2 linked regions of the Oryza sativa Japonica Group genome follow. Each later gene encodes a partner of the first gene's protein in a complex. Links are inferred from orthologs where the notes say so. Each region holds a gene or a part of one and is shown on either strand. Other genes may lie near its edges.

Region 1 (7,547 bases):
AAGGCGATGGATCCAATTGATGTTGAAACGGTATGTTTCTTGAGATTTGAGATATAGTTTCTGAATGTTCTATGATTATATCGTATCCTTTTCCCAACACAGATATTCTTAATTTTGAAGTAGCGGAAATGTTAGACAGATGTGCATTTATGGGGCCCCAGTTGTAGAACAGCTGTAAAAGTTTCAGTGATACTAACATTTCACTTCACTATTGTTGTTCTTAGAAGCCTTTCTTTGTTCAGTAAGGCCAAAATAAGACTTTGCATTCTCTTCCATTCATAGCTCTTACCCTTAACTAAAAAATCATCTGCTGCAACTTTCCACATTTGAAAGAAGTTATTCGTATATTTTATGCTAAACACAGTAGGAATTCATTGTATCAATATATATATAGGTTGTCTCACCATTCTACTGCATTGGTTTCGATCAATTCATGTTCTTCTATTTTATGGACAACCGTACCATTGTTACTTCTAGTTTTTCTTCACATAACTATTTTATTTCACTTGCAATGAACACTGGTTGATCTGACAAATTGACAGGTACTACTGCTGATGAGAAATCTGTCCATGAACTTAACTAGCCCCAACTTTGCGGCACATGTAAGTTGTTCTGTTTTTGTATTTGTTCTCCACTGATATTATGCATCTTGTAGCTATCTAAACATGTTATGAGTAATTTAGAGTTTGAACTGTACTAGCGTTAAGGTTTGCCATTTTGGCTAGTTATTGTGGTTAGGGTTCTTGTTAGCTGAATTTGTGTTCGAAGTTTGGGGTAGCTAATAATGTTTTAAATAACAAACAATTGACTGGCTACTTTCATGATTACTGTGATCAGATTGCATTAGTTGCCTACCACATGCTTACTCTCATCCACCTGTGTTCTTCTGGATATCTAGTGTCAAGTTGACCGCATCCATGTCCTCTCAAACTTACTTTGCAGGATTTGATCCTGATTGGGCTGGCTACAACAGCCATAGAAACTTTATACGGAACTTTTCTTTTTCCTGAATAACTAAATAGGATATTATTATCATGGTTTCGTGGTATATAGTTTCTACAGATATGAAATGCATTAGCTATGTCAATAAGGGCATATTTTATGTTCTACACAACACTTGCATTTGACTTCGATTTGTTATAGTGCAATGTCCTGACATTTTGACTCTACCTGATTGCAGCTGAGCTTGCTGTCATCATGTAATTCTGGTGGGGACCCAATTAAGTCTGAAGGCATGGAAAATCTTGGATCTCCACAGAGTTGCCATCTCCCGTTCATGTAATACTTCAGTTACTCTCGTTTTCTAGGTGCTTGTAATCTGATTTTATCCCATCTTGCTGAAGCAACTTTTCGTACTCCAGGGTAACAAGTGAGTGAGGGAGAACTGCTTGTATGCGGACGAAGCTTCAGTTGTTTCCACAAGACGTTCTTGTGTTCTCTTTGTACTGGAGTTGTGGACGGCTGATCCGGCAGTTTACCAACGCTAGCACGTGTTGTGGCCGTGGCATCTGTATAGCTTCCAATAATGCTCTAACCCTAGGCTAGTTTTGCTCATCAATCATGTTCATGTAGATAGCCAGTTTTGTGTGCTCAGCAATTCTTTTTCCCTCGGGGTGGGGCATGGCTCGAAATGTTTTTGTATGTGTACATCTTTGTATACATGTATGTAAATATGTGTGATCATGTAATGCTTAAAGATACTGTTGACTGATTTGAGGTAATAATACAATAAACCAGTGGGGCACTCGGGTGTAGTCTCTAGGGCGCCCCACTGTTGTGAAATGTGAGCTCTGAAGTTGTGGACTATCTTCAAAGCTATGACCTAGTCGAGATATGTGTTCATCTAAGTTCGTTTGAGTTTGCAGCTGGTATTGATTGCGCTATGGTTCTATAGCTGCTGTTGTACAACCCATCCCCAATGTACATTTTCGACCTTCTTGGCACCTGTTTGTATCCGAATACTGAATTGATATGCATTTTCATTTTATCTGAAACTGAAGTGCATCTTCATTTCTACCCTCATCATTTGCTCTTTGGTTTACAGGTTGCAGTTAAAAATTGAAATTTTTAAACTTCATTTTAAATTATTCTAGGTGTCATTTTCATCATTTTCTTTAAGCTGATAAAAGTAGAAATGTAAAACTCTACCCTAAAATCATATTCCATCACATTTATTTTCTACGGAATATTAACCACTTCCAAGATTGTTTTTTTTTTTCCCGAATTCAGCATGTTCCTATTCGGAATTCATGGCTGTTAGCGGCGTACCCCTCCATCCCATAAAAAACAACCTAGTACCGGATGCGACACATCTTAAGACTATGAATTTGGACATAAAATATCATATCCTATTCTAGATTCGTTTTTTCATGGAATGGAGGGAGTACCTAGTAAGGGTCAACAGAGGTCATTGAATACTGGTGATTTTTTTTTTACAGTTATAAGTTATGTATTTATACCATGTGGGACACCCTTACTAAGTTAAATCGAACACATGAGAAGGTTGCTTCATAAGTTAGATGAGCATAAGGACCATCGGTAATTTTCTTAGCGGGTTCACTGCTAATGGCTATGGTTGTATTAACTTATATTTTTTTGTTGTTAAGGGTGTAATGCCGCTGCTTGCAGCCATAACTAAGGCTATAGGGAGCGTTCTTCTGGCCGGCTACAATGGTTGCAGTTGTAGCTACGCACAGTGAGTGCGGCACTATTCGTGTCGATCATGGTGCAGTCACAAAAGCAACAGCCGAAAATGCTCATTAAATAGAGCCGCTTATTTTTAAGTTAATTAGAACTGATCTAAAAGTTTTACATATAAATTATATTTTGGTTGATACTAATAAAAACATGATGGCTGGAAACAACAAGACATAAATTTTGGAGGAAAAACCGCTGTAAAATACACTCCGTCTCCCACAAGAGAACACGCCATTTTGGCAGGCGTTTCCCCCTCCGAACTCCACCGAGGTGATCCCTCCCATGGCGGCCGTTAGCTACGAGTAGCCGCGGAGACGGAAGACTCTCCCACCTAGCAAAAGGACTAGTAGCAATCCAGCGAACTCAAAGCCACCCCTCCTCGTCTCCCTCGCCCAAGTCCACGGCGAGCCGCGGCGGCGGCGGCGGCGGAGGAGGAGGCGCAGCGAGTGGGAGGGGAGGCGGAAAATGGTGGTGGTGGACGCGTCGGAGTTCGGGGCGGAGGGGTTCGACCCGAAGCGGTGGATCAACGCGGCGCTGGACGCGCGCCACCCGTCGGAGCCGCTCGACCGCTTCCTCGCCGACGCCGAGGAGCGCCTCCGCTCGGCCGCCGACGACGCCGCGGCCGCGCTCGAGCGGGACAGCGCCGACGCGCTCCGCCGCGTCCCGCTCGCCTGCCGCGACGCGCTCCGCCTCCGCGACGACGCCGTCTCGCTCCGGTCCCATCTCGCCTCCGTCCTCCAGTCGCTCTCCCAGGTGCGCCCCCGCTCGCCTGCTAGTTGGATCTGGATCTCACAGTTCACTCGTGCACAATTGTACGTGTATCACGCGAAACCCAGATCATTTTGGAGGATTACGAACTTGCGATAATAGTTGGTGCGAATGAGCAAATGTTGAACCAATTTGGCACAATAGGTTTTAGTTTGATTCATTTATGCGTATGATTCAGCCTCTGGCCGCTTTTAGTACCCCCCGTTTTTTCACTTGGATCTGGATCTCACGTACTGTATTTGGTCATGTCAATTTTATCCTTGTACGCTTTGCATTGAACAGTGCGTACAACTAGAACTGTATTTAGTCATGTCAATTTTATCGCTGTACGCTTTTATCAAATGATATGTTAATTTGATCATCTCTGTTAACTGAAACTGAAGTCAGAATTTGCGTGGGCTTGGCAAAACCAAGCTGGAGCTCTGTTGGCAAAATCCTTGCATGTGTCGGGATGTTATAATGCTGTGTACTTATGCAATGCAGTTATGTGCATGTAAACTTTGAGTATGCTGTAGAGGACATTCAAATCCAGCAGTTCAGTGATGCCCATAAAACTATGCCTATAGTCTATTATAATGGGATACCGTCACTTATATCATTTAGTTCATATAGGTGATAGGTCAGGATGCTACATCAAATCACAAGCAAAACATTTTCTCCTGTAGCATGTACTTCTTGTTACGTGTAGCGTTATCTTCTCATAACATTTAGCTTGACATTTTGTAGAATACACTGGAATGAATTTGCTAGCACTAGAACTTTTTTTTTTGGGTACTGAGTGATTCCTTCTTTGTAACGGCCAATGCTGAATACTGGGTGTTAATGAATGAAATATGACATACATATGCATGTATGATCAACTAACTAGGTATTCAGTCCCATCTACATTTCATAAATTCTGTATTACTGATGATGATGATTTCTTCAATCAGGCTGAGGGTTCATCTGCAGAGTCAATAACTGCACTAGCACGAATTGATACTGTGAAACAACGAATGGAAGCGGCGTATGCAACATTACAGGTAAGTTGTATGTGGACTATGGTGCATGTTACTGAAGTAAATGCTTCACTCACAGTGGTAGGTTATCTTTTAATAGATTTAACAGCTTGTTGGTCGGAATGCCAGGATGCGGCTGGACTAGCTCAGTTGAGCCAAAGTGTTGAGGATGTATTTTCTAGTGGTGATCTTCCAAAAGCTGCAGAAACCCTGGCAACCATGAGACATTGCTTGTCGGCAGTTGGTGAGGTATTGTACTCTCTCACACAAACATGCACAGTACACTGAGTTTATATGCAGAAGCTATTTGTTTTGCTTATATAAAAGTTGCTTTCAGGTTGCGGAGTTCGCTAATGTGAGAAAGCAGCTTGAAGTATTGGAAGAACGGCTAGATGACATGGTTCAACCTCGTTTGGTGGATGCACTTTCTAACCGCAAGGTTTTTCTTACTAATCTCATTTATATTTGTTAAACAGTAGTACAGGCATCTCTATTTCATCTAAAGCCTACAAATTTTGGTTGGAAGGTCGATGCTGTGCAAGATCTTCGTGGAATACTGATACGTATTGGCAGATTCAAGTCACTGGAGGTGCAATATACTAAGATCCATGTCAAGCCTCTAAAGAAACTTTGGGAAGATTTTGATCTAAAACAGAGAGCTAAGCGGGTAGAGATGGAGAAGTATGGTGGAGAAAGCATAAACAGTCTCTCATTTGCTAGCTGGCTTCCAAATTTCTATGATGAGACACTACTTTACCTTGAACAAGAATGGAAGTGGTATGTTCATTGTACCCTGTTGTCTTTTGTTCTGAATCAGCAATGTTTGCCCTTGTAAACAGAAGCCAGTTTTTGGCAGCATCTTTTAGCTGCATTCGGACAATATTTTTGCTCCACCAAAAATTAATGGATGTTCTACAATGCTAATGCTGAAGGTGCCTGACTGCTTTCCCTGAAGAATACAAATCACTAGTCCCAAAAGTACTTGTTGAAACCATGAGTGAGTTGAATTCAAGTTTTGTCTCTCGTGTCAACCTAGCAACTGGAGATGCTGTTCCTGAAACTAGATCTGTTGCAAAAGGTAATGCATAAACTTCTCGTATTATTTCATTTTTGTATGTCTATACTAATTTCATGATTGAATTACATGTTTTATTTTTCTCTGTTCAATTAAAAAAGGATATTACTTGTTTGCCACATATGCGTACTTCTTTCGTAACAATAAATTGATTTTATGTCCTCTGTACCCAGGTATACTAGATGTTTTATCAGGTGACTTGCCAAAAAGTACCAAATTGCAGAATAAGCATCTTGGAGCACTGATCGACCTGCACAACATGACGGGCACTTTTGCTCGGAACATCCAACATTTATTTTCAGAGTCAGATCTTTTAGTTCTGCTGAATACATTGAAAGCTATTTATTCCCCATATGAGACTTTTAAAGCAAGGTAAAAAAAAAACTTGTGAAAAATTCTGTTGCATGCAGTTAACTGCATTGGTGAGATTTTTTTTGTTGCTATTGCTGTAGTACTCAGCCAGTGGTGTTTCATGCTATGTAGGTATGGGCAAATGGAGCGTGCTTTACTTTCTGCTGAGATGGCTGGTATAGATATCCGTGGGGCCATTGCTCGTGGTGTGGGTGCACAGGGTATAGAGCTGAGTGAAACTGTTCGTAGAATGGAGGAATCCATCCCACAAATTATAGTGCTTCTTGAAGCAGCTGTCGAGAGATGCATTAGTCTTACTGGTGGTTCAGAGGCAGATGAACTGGTATTGGCTCTAGATGACATTATGCTGCAGTACATATCAAACCTACAAGAAACTTTAAAATCCCTTAGGATTGTATGTGGGGTGGATAATACTGCACATAGTGATTCCTCTAAAAAGGAAGCAGGACTAGAGAAAAAAGAAGCACAACGATTGGTCGATGTCTCTGAAGAGGAAGAATGGTCTATTGTCCAGGGTGCTTTGCAGATTCTTACAGTTGCTGATTGCCTAACTAGCAGAACCTCAGTTTTTGAAGCTTCTTTAAGGGCTACTCTTGCCAGGATTGGAACCAACTTTTCTATTTCTGGTTTTGGTTCTAGCCTAGATAAATCAACTGCAGCAAATGGTGATGAGAATGCAGAAGTGCCTATCACAGGGAGGGCAGCACTTGATATTGCAGCTATTCGCCTCACCGATCTACCAGACAAGTCTAAGAAGCTCTTCACTGTACTAGAACAGGCAAGTTATATATTTTTAAATTATCTTGCTAGTGTCACAACACTAGAGTTATCACATGTTTCTCTGATTTGTTTGAACAGCCTGATTGCAAACTTAGGTGGTAGTATTAAGCTAGATTATCTGGTTTTATAGGAAATTCGGAGATCTTTTTTAGCTTTCCTTTTCTATTATGCATTTTTTTAAGCTACTCATATGTGGCATAGAACCTATTTTTTGACCTATAATTTCCCAAGTATCACAAGTAACTCTTTGTTTGTCTTCATGGCTAATTTAAAGATAACATTTCTGTTATACAGTCAAAAGATCCAAGGTTCCATGCTCTACCTCTGACATCACAAAGAGTTGCGGCCTTCTCAGACACAGTAAATGAACTCGTCTATGACGTGCTCATATCTAAAGTCCGACAGCGTCTCAATGAGGTTGCTCGCCTCCCAATTTGGTCATCGGTGGAGGAACCAGGTGGCCTTCCCCTTCCAAGCTTCAGTGCCTACCCGCAGGCATATGTGACCAGTGTTGGGGAGTATCTCCTAACTTTACCCCAGCAGTTGGAGCCACTTGCAGAAGGTATCTCAGGCGGTGAGGCTGGCAACGAGGAGGCTCAGTTCTTTGCTACTGAATGGATATTTAAGGTAATATATTCAAAGCATTTTTTTTCATCATGCTGTGTACATTCGCAACATACCATCGACAAAACCATTCATACTTCACACTGCGACTTTCGCAAATTCCGTACAGAAGAGTTGACCATTTAGAACTACATGCATTGCAACTGAATACAACATTACATAAAACCCCAATAATCTGACCACAACATAAACACCGAACCCAAATCTTTTGATGAATTAATCTAGAACTGTCT
Region 2 (7,348 bases), on another chromosome or scaffold:
GCAATTTGTGAGGGTAATATTTTTTTCTATTAATTTTCTATCAAATGATTTGTAAGCATGGAAATATTGTGTTTATACTCAAAGTGTGAAAATTGAAGAGTCAGCAAGGTTACTCCCATGTTTGTAATTAAGTGTCCATTTTATACTGAACAAATGGAATTTCTAATGGCATATATGCGTCATAGCAATATTGCATAATAGTTTTTTATATATAAATGAGGTCATTCTGAAAATACCGTATTTTTAGAATAATTAGCAACAATTGTTGTTTGATTTAACACCTATATTGATGCTTTCCACTGCTTCACCAATAACTGATGAAAAACCAAATTAAGAACCTGTCGTTGATAAGATGTGCCTTAATTTTTGTCATGCTTTTTTTTTTCTCGTATAACCAACCATACAACTAATGGAACTAATAGTCGACAGGAGTAATAAGTGAAATTGCAGACAGGAGGCGCGACATTGGCGCGCCCCGTCATCTAGTAAAATTAAAGGATCAACCTACAACTACAATCCACTAGCCCATAAAAATTGCAGGAACGACCTACAAGGCTACAATCCAATACTCCAGGAATGATTTATAACTCCAATCCTCTCTTAGTATAAGTTAGAGCCCACTAAATACTAAAGCTTAACATGTAAAGATGCCACATCATCATTCACTAATAATTATTACATTTAAACATCATGCAAGCATGTTATATTATCTATAATTTTATAATTTATTAAATTTTATAGCTTTTCAAATGCTTAGCCTAATGATATGATTTGGTAGACACCTCTGCATTGGCCAAAATTTAGTCCCTGTCACATCAGATGTTATGACACTAATTAAAAGTATTAAACATAGACTAATGACAAACCCCATTCCATAACCCTGGATTAATTCGCGAGATGAATCTATTGAGTCTAATTAATCAATGATTAGCCTATGTGATGCTACACTAAACATGTGTTAATTATGGATTAATTAGGCTTAAAAATTTTGTCTCACGAATTAGCTCTCATTTATGCAATTATTAGTTTTGTAAGTAGTTTATGTTTAATATCTAAATTAGTGTATAAACATCCGATGTGATAGGGACTAAAGTTGGATCCAAACACCACCTAAGTTACAAGATCAATCGACCTTGTCAGTCACCTCTTCTTCCTCATCGTTGTCGGAGCTGTGGACACAATCTGGTGATGGTGCGTGTATGGCTATCCTGGCCTCTTAGTCGTTGTCGACCATGGTGTAGCCCTTCTCGTGGCGATGGCCAATGGTTCCGGATCATGGTCTGGCACTGGACAAGCTTGTCCTGGCGGGCATAGAGCGTCTCGGCCGTTAAGCGCGCGTCCTCGTTGAGCTTCTCCTCCAGCTCCGGCGGCACCAGAGGGTTGGGCTCCTCTTCCAGGATCGTCGATGTGGAGGGTCCTCTTGATGGCCAGTATCTTGTCAACCAGCCTGTTGGCCAGCAGTATCTTCCCACTCGGGACCATGATCTTCTCGCCGTCGATCACCGCCACCACGGGGATCGGCATCGGTAGGTTCCTGTTCATCAGAAACGCCAGCGGCCACCGCCTTCCTCTTGGTGGATGACTTCTTCATGGGGCCACCGACTCACTCGCCTTCTCGGCCGCCGTGCCTCGAGCAGAGCACGCCTTCATTGATATCTTCTCACTGGCCAATGCCGCCTCCTCATCCTCCTCCTCGGTCGCCGCAGTGATCACGCGTCGATTGAGCCCACCCTCTTTGCCGGTCATCACTTCCGATGGGGAATTTTCCTTAGAGAATTTGATGGCTCTTCTTCGTAGATGGGGATTTTGGATGAACCCTAACTTTTCGATAGAGGGAAGAGGCCGCCGGTGCGTGGTAGTTACTAAGGTAACATAAGTGGGCTATATAAGTTGCCACATCAGATTTGTGCTTGTGTGGAGGAGAGATGAGAGGAGAGAGAATAAAAGTGGGCTACAGATTTGTAACCAGCTACATCACAAGCTCCAATATTTTTAACTATGTGAGAGAGATGGATGGATTATGCATTCATGATGCAGTATATTTCTACAGCTAACTATTGTATGAGTAAGCTATTAGATAGACTATAAATGATGTTTTAAATTTTGAAGTTAGTAGTGGGCTGTATTATTAAACTTGCTCTTAGAGGGAAGCTTAAGGGGTGGCTAATGGGCGGGTGACCACCCCAGGCGATCACCCCCCATCCTCCTATACGTTACTCTCCCTCCCTTCCTCCTCCCCTTCTTCTCTTCCTACTACACCATAAATTTAAAAAAAATAAAAAAATAAAGTTGGAAAAATTTATGTATAGAAAATACTATATATAAAAAATATTTGAATTTAAATTCAAATTTGAAACAGGTATGTAAACTTTTAACTTATAAACTTTGGGCCTATAAACTAATATTTGAATTCAAATTCAAATTTGAATCGGGTATGTAAACTTTTGACTTATAAACTTTGGATCTATAAACTTTAAATGTATAGAAGTACTATATATAAAAAATATTTGAATTCAAGTTCAAATTTGAATCGGATATAACTCAAATTCAAATTTGAAACGGGTATATAAACTTCTGACTTAAACTTTAGGCCTATAAACTTTAGATGTATAGAAATACTGTATGTAAAAAATATTTGAATTCAAATTCAAATTTGAATCGGATATATAAACTTTTGACTTATAAACTCTGGGTCTCTAAACTTTAGGTGTATAGGAAAGTAATGCGATGCAAAAAAAAAAAAGAACCCACGTGGTGGGGGGGGGGGGGGGGGGGCGGAGCGGCCCTGATCGCCCCGGGCAATCGTTCGCCCAGTAGCAAAACCGTGAAGCTTATCATAGTCTGACTCGAGATGGCAGTCACCGCCTGATCACCGGCATCTTCATTCGCTCGGATCTCGGACCATGCAACGCAGCCGCACCGGCCAAGCCATGTCACGGCGATCACGCCGGCGTAGGCATCGTCACGCAGTTGCCTGCGTCACCCTGTTTTCGCTGCCGCCGCCGGAGCGGATAGCGGAAGCTACCGAGCCGACACAGCACGAGCACCGGAATCTCCGAGCCGCGCAATCTTACCAATTTTTAGTAAAGTTACCAAAACAGTGGCTACATTTAGTTTGCTGCCAAATTTTGGTAACTATATAAGAAATATTGTTAAAATTTTGACAACTATACTAAAATTTTGGTAATATCAAAATTTAGTAAGTTTTTTTTTTCATCAAAGTGAACAGGCCTCAAGTCCGTTGGATTGGAGCATATGGGTTCAACCAAGCAGGCCAAACTTTACAGCCCATCAAGGCCTTGTATAAGAGGCCCGCCAAATGGCCCATCTCACTAGATGGGCCTAAACTAAAATCAATTTCCAGCCCATCAAATGCCTTGTCTCTTTAGTCGTCAATATCGGCCCATTTACTAGTATGGGCTGGAAATTCGAGCTACTCCAAAAATTTGGCCCATTCCAGCCAAATCCAAACGACCAAACAAGCAGCGAGTTCGAGAGACCACTCTCCTCAGATCTCTACCCCATCTCTCCCACCGCTTCTCAGATCCACCACCAACACCCGCGGTCGCCGGCGGCCACCGCGCGCGCCATGGCCGCGCCAGCGACGCCGCGGCTACTCCTCTCGCCGACCTCCAAGGACCTCATCGCCGCCGCCTCCTCCTCCTTCCCGTCGCCGCCCTCCCCGACGACCTCTTCCGATCCCGCCTCCCCGCTCGACGCCTTCGCCTCCGACCCGGTCCTCTCCGCGTTCCTCTCCCCGTCCTTCTCCCCCTCCGACTTCTCCTCCGCCGCGCTCTCCTCGGGCCTCGCCGCCTCCCGCGCCGAGCAGCTGCAGGAGGCCATCCGCCTCCTCCGCCGCCACCTCCGCGCCGAGGTGCTCCGCCGCCACCCGCTCCTCCTCTCCCACCTCCTCTCCCTCCGCTCCGCCTCCGCCTCGCTCTCCTCCCTCCCCTCCCACCTCCACCTCCTCTCCTCCCACCTCTCGCTCCTCTCCTCCCATCTCTCCGCGCCGCGCGCACACCTCGCGCACTCCTCCTCCTCCCTCTCCACCCTCCTCTCCACCGCCGACCTCCTGCTCCACTCCCACCGCCTCGTCCGCCTCTCCTCCCGCCTCCTCACCTCCACGCCGCCTCCTGACCTCGCCCGCCAGGCCGAGCTCCACCGCGAGATCCGCCTTCTCTACGAGGAGAAGAACCTCGCCGGCATCAATGCCGTCGACGAGGAGATGCGCAAGGTCGATGCGGCTGCCTCTAAGCTCCGATCGGAGGCCAGCGCTGTGATCGATCGCGGCATTGCTGAGTCCAACCAGAACGACGTCTGGTGCGGGCTGCAGGTGTACTATAATCTCGGAGAACTGAAGCCGGCAGTGGAAGGGCTCGTGGCGAAGTACAAGGCGGCAGGAGCGAAGAGTGTGGCTGTGGCACTGGACATGAAGGCTATATCAATGGCTGCAGGGGGTGGAGGTGGCCCTGGAGGCGTGCAGAGGAGTGGCACGCCACAGATTGGTGGCAGTAAGAAGGCGGCGGAGGCACTGTGGGATAGGATGAGACAGTGCATGGAGGAGCTGCATCGGTCGGTCACGGCCGCATGGCAGCTGCAGACTGTGCTCACCAAGAAACGTGTTCCATTCACACAAATGCTGTTCCTCGAGGAGGTTTGGCAGGTGAGACCTGATCAATGGGCTAATCCTATTGCTGCAAATTAATTGAAATGAAATTTAGAATATAAGATGTGTTAAAGTTGGTAAACATCGAATAGACACTATATGAAGATTTTGTTGACAATATGATGTTCGTCTGTGACTGTGAGTCATGAGATATGTTGGCAGCCGAGAGACTTAGGCAGAATAATTTACATCGATATACCTGTAACTATTTTGCAGGGAACAAATTTGATCTAAGTCTACATGTTTAGTTATTGATCCTATATTGTTTACACTTGAGTTGGCAGGTTTGCATGATATATCACAATGTAATTTGTCAACCTAAATTGGATCTTACGATATATCATTTTCAAGTAGTTGATAGTAGAAATAAGTGCATGCCTTGGATTAGATATAATATATCAGTTCTAGTCTTCTAGAATAATGAATTATCTTTAAGATGTCAGTTGGAAAGTAATATGAACTATCTATTCATGATGCTCAGTGTTGCAACATATACTGAGTTATTACTTACTACACTAGTAAACACATATAGTCCTTTCTATCTCCTATAACTTCCTGCTGTGTGAAATTTATGTGTGGATGTTCCATGGTCTGTACAATCAAGTGCTAAATTTTTCCTCGTTCTAATATTTACCTGTCAATAGTTTATACTTGTGTGCCAATATCTTGATATTGCTCACCTTTTTTTTTTTTTTTTGAAATTTAGCATTGACATGCTCACCATGCGTTCCGATTCCTGTTTCTTGCCCCACTGACAATGAGAAAAATTGCAGGAGGGTGATCCTCTGTTAACAGAGAGAGTATGGGATGCTATTGTTAAGGCCTTTGCAAGTCAACTGAAATCTGCCTTTACAGCGTCAAGCTTTGTGAAGGAAATTTTTACTCTTGGATACCCAAGATTGTTTTCAATGATTGAGAACCTCCTCGAGAGGATTTTAAGAGACACCGATGTAAAAGGCACCCTTCCAGCTCTTACTCCCGTAGGGAAAAACCACATGACTGCAGCCATTGAGATATTCCAGACAGCCTTTCTGGCTCTTTGTCATAGTCGCCTCTCTGATTATATCAATAGCATATTTCCCATGTCAGGCCGTGGTATACCTTCAAAAGACCAAATATCAAGGTTAATTTCTCGCATCCAAGAGGAAGTTGAAGTTGTGAGAACTCATGGGCATTTGCTTGCTCGTGTTCTACAAGAAATTGGAAAAGTTTTGCTTCTCCTAGCACAAAGAGCTGAATATCAGGTATTCACCTGCTACTTTATAGTGAAGTTATTTATTTCTAGTTTTTCCTAGGGATTTTGTATGCTTTCTCAGTTTGTCATGTAAATATTAGCATATGCGATTCTTATGGAATGGTAAATCTACTACTAAACTCTGATGATTTTGATTTGAAACTTGTATATGTTACTTTTACGTCATGACCTGTTTCACTGACTGTTTTGTAGATTTTATTCTGTTAAAAAAACTTAAGATTTTTTTTTCTAGCAGATGGTTGTAGCTCTATCTGTAGGTCCTTATTGTGCATTGGATTGTTCTCTTTTCTCGACTAAGTTTGTGAAGCTAATCAGTCACCTCACAGACCTCAATCTATGTTCAATATGCACTGCTCGGTCGACCTTTTCATTCACCTCAATCTATGTACAATGCATTTGTTGGTGCCTGTGTTATTCTGTTCTTAGGAGCTCCTCTAGTTATAAAAGTTGGCCTTTTCATTGAGATGAATAAAATTCTGGAAGTTTTTTTTGTTAGTTTTGTGGTTATTGGGGGTCGCAGAGTGAAATAAGAGAGATCTTAATCTAACCCAGTGAATGTGTACTTGTGGGGACTGCTGGTTGTTTCCAAGAAAATAGTGATATCATGTTGGTTTGGTGAACTAAAATTTGTGTTCTTAACTTCTGTCTCAATTTGAAGTAAAGAGAGTACAGCATAGAACTTGCATTATGAAAAAAATGATGTCCTATAGTGCACTGCTGCATGAGAAAATGCGACTGACGTCTTAAGCAGAATAGCAGATCATGAAACATGGACAACATTCGCTGGTTTAAGCCATTCTAAAATCTACGGCATAGAAGAGTTGGATCAATGTGCCTTTGCTGGAGAGCAAAAATGCACGTACAATCTAATTATATTGTTTGCTTTGCTGTTGGTTGTTTTACCGACTGAGTACTATTTTCACCATTTCCTCCTATGTGATATACTTGCTTATTTGTATGTGCGCGCACTGCACGGGTTCATTTATACACTTGTCGTGCAGTGCACAACTGCAAAATGACCATAAATTGGCTGCAGGCATTGTCTTGGTTTTTGTATGCATCTGCTAGGCGCTGATGTATATTTTGCTTCAATGCAGATCTCTACTGGCACTGAAGCCCGGCAAGTTACTGGCACAGTGACTCCAGCTCAACTGAAAAACTTTGCTCTATGTCTTCACCTCCAGGATGTTCACACACGTATTTCAAGCATTGTGTCAACACTTCCAAATGTTACCTCTGAAAAACTTTCCAAATCCCTTGAGGCCATTTATACAGTCGCGTGTGATTCAGTGAGCCCTCTATTCAAAGAAATGTTTGATCGTCTCGGATCATGCATTCTGAAAATGCACGAGCAGGACTTTGGAACTCATGGAATGGACGCAACAATGGATAACAACGCTTCAGCTTACATGGAGGAACTGCAGAAG

Evidence for each region.
Region 2: conserved oligomeric Golgi complex subunit 7 (region 1) and conserved oligomeric Golgi complex subunit 5 share a complex: the UniProt entries of both Arabidopsis thaliana proteins name them as parts of the conserved oligomeric Golgi complex. The link is inferred for Oryza sativa Japonica Group from reciprocal best matches to the Arabidopsis thaliana genes EYE and AT1G67930.

Annotation. Positions count from the first base shown.
Region 1 is NC_089040.1:28,594,697-28,602,243, reverse strand, and holds the start of conserved oligomeric Golgi complex subunit 7, read left to right. Parts: upstream 1-2,927; 5' UTR 2,928-3,162; coding exon 3,163-3,450; intron 3,451-4,397; coding exon 4,398-4,487; intron 4,488-4,592; coding exon 4,593-4,712; intron 4,713-4,800; coding exon 4,801-4,902; intron 4,903-4,989; coding exon 4,990-5,240; intron 5,241-5,395; coding exon 5,396-5,541; intron 5,542-5,711; coding exon 5,712-5,910; intron 5,911-6,021; coding exon 6,022-6,688; intron 6,689-6,984; coding exon 6,985-7,317; intron 7,318-7,547. Other genes in the region: protein REVEILLE 6, read left to right, coding at 1-30, 543-602, 1,181-1,278, 1,362-1,377. UniProt on the Arabidopsis thaliana protein: Required for normal Golgi function. Necessary for embryo development and pigmentation, especially for the expansion of cells and organs, and for the formation of the organized shoot apical meristem (SAM).
Region 2 is NC_089039.1:18,421,528-18,428,875, reverse strand, and holds the start of conserved oligomeric Golgi complex subunit 5, read left to right. Parts: upstream 1-3,510; 5' UTR 3,511-3,589; coding exon 3,590-4,663; intron 4,664-5,439; coding exon 5,440-5,910; intron 5,911-7,018; coding exon 7,019-7,348. UniProt on the Arabidopsis thaliana protein: Required for normal Golgi function.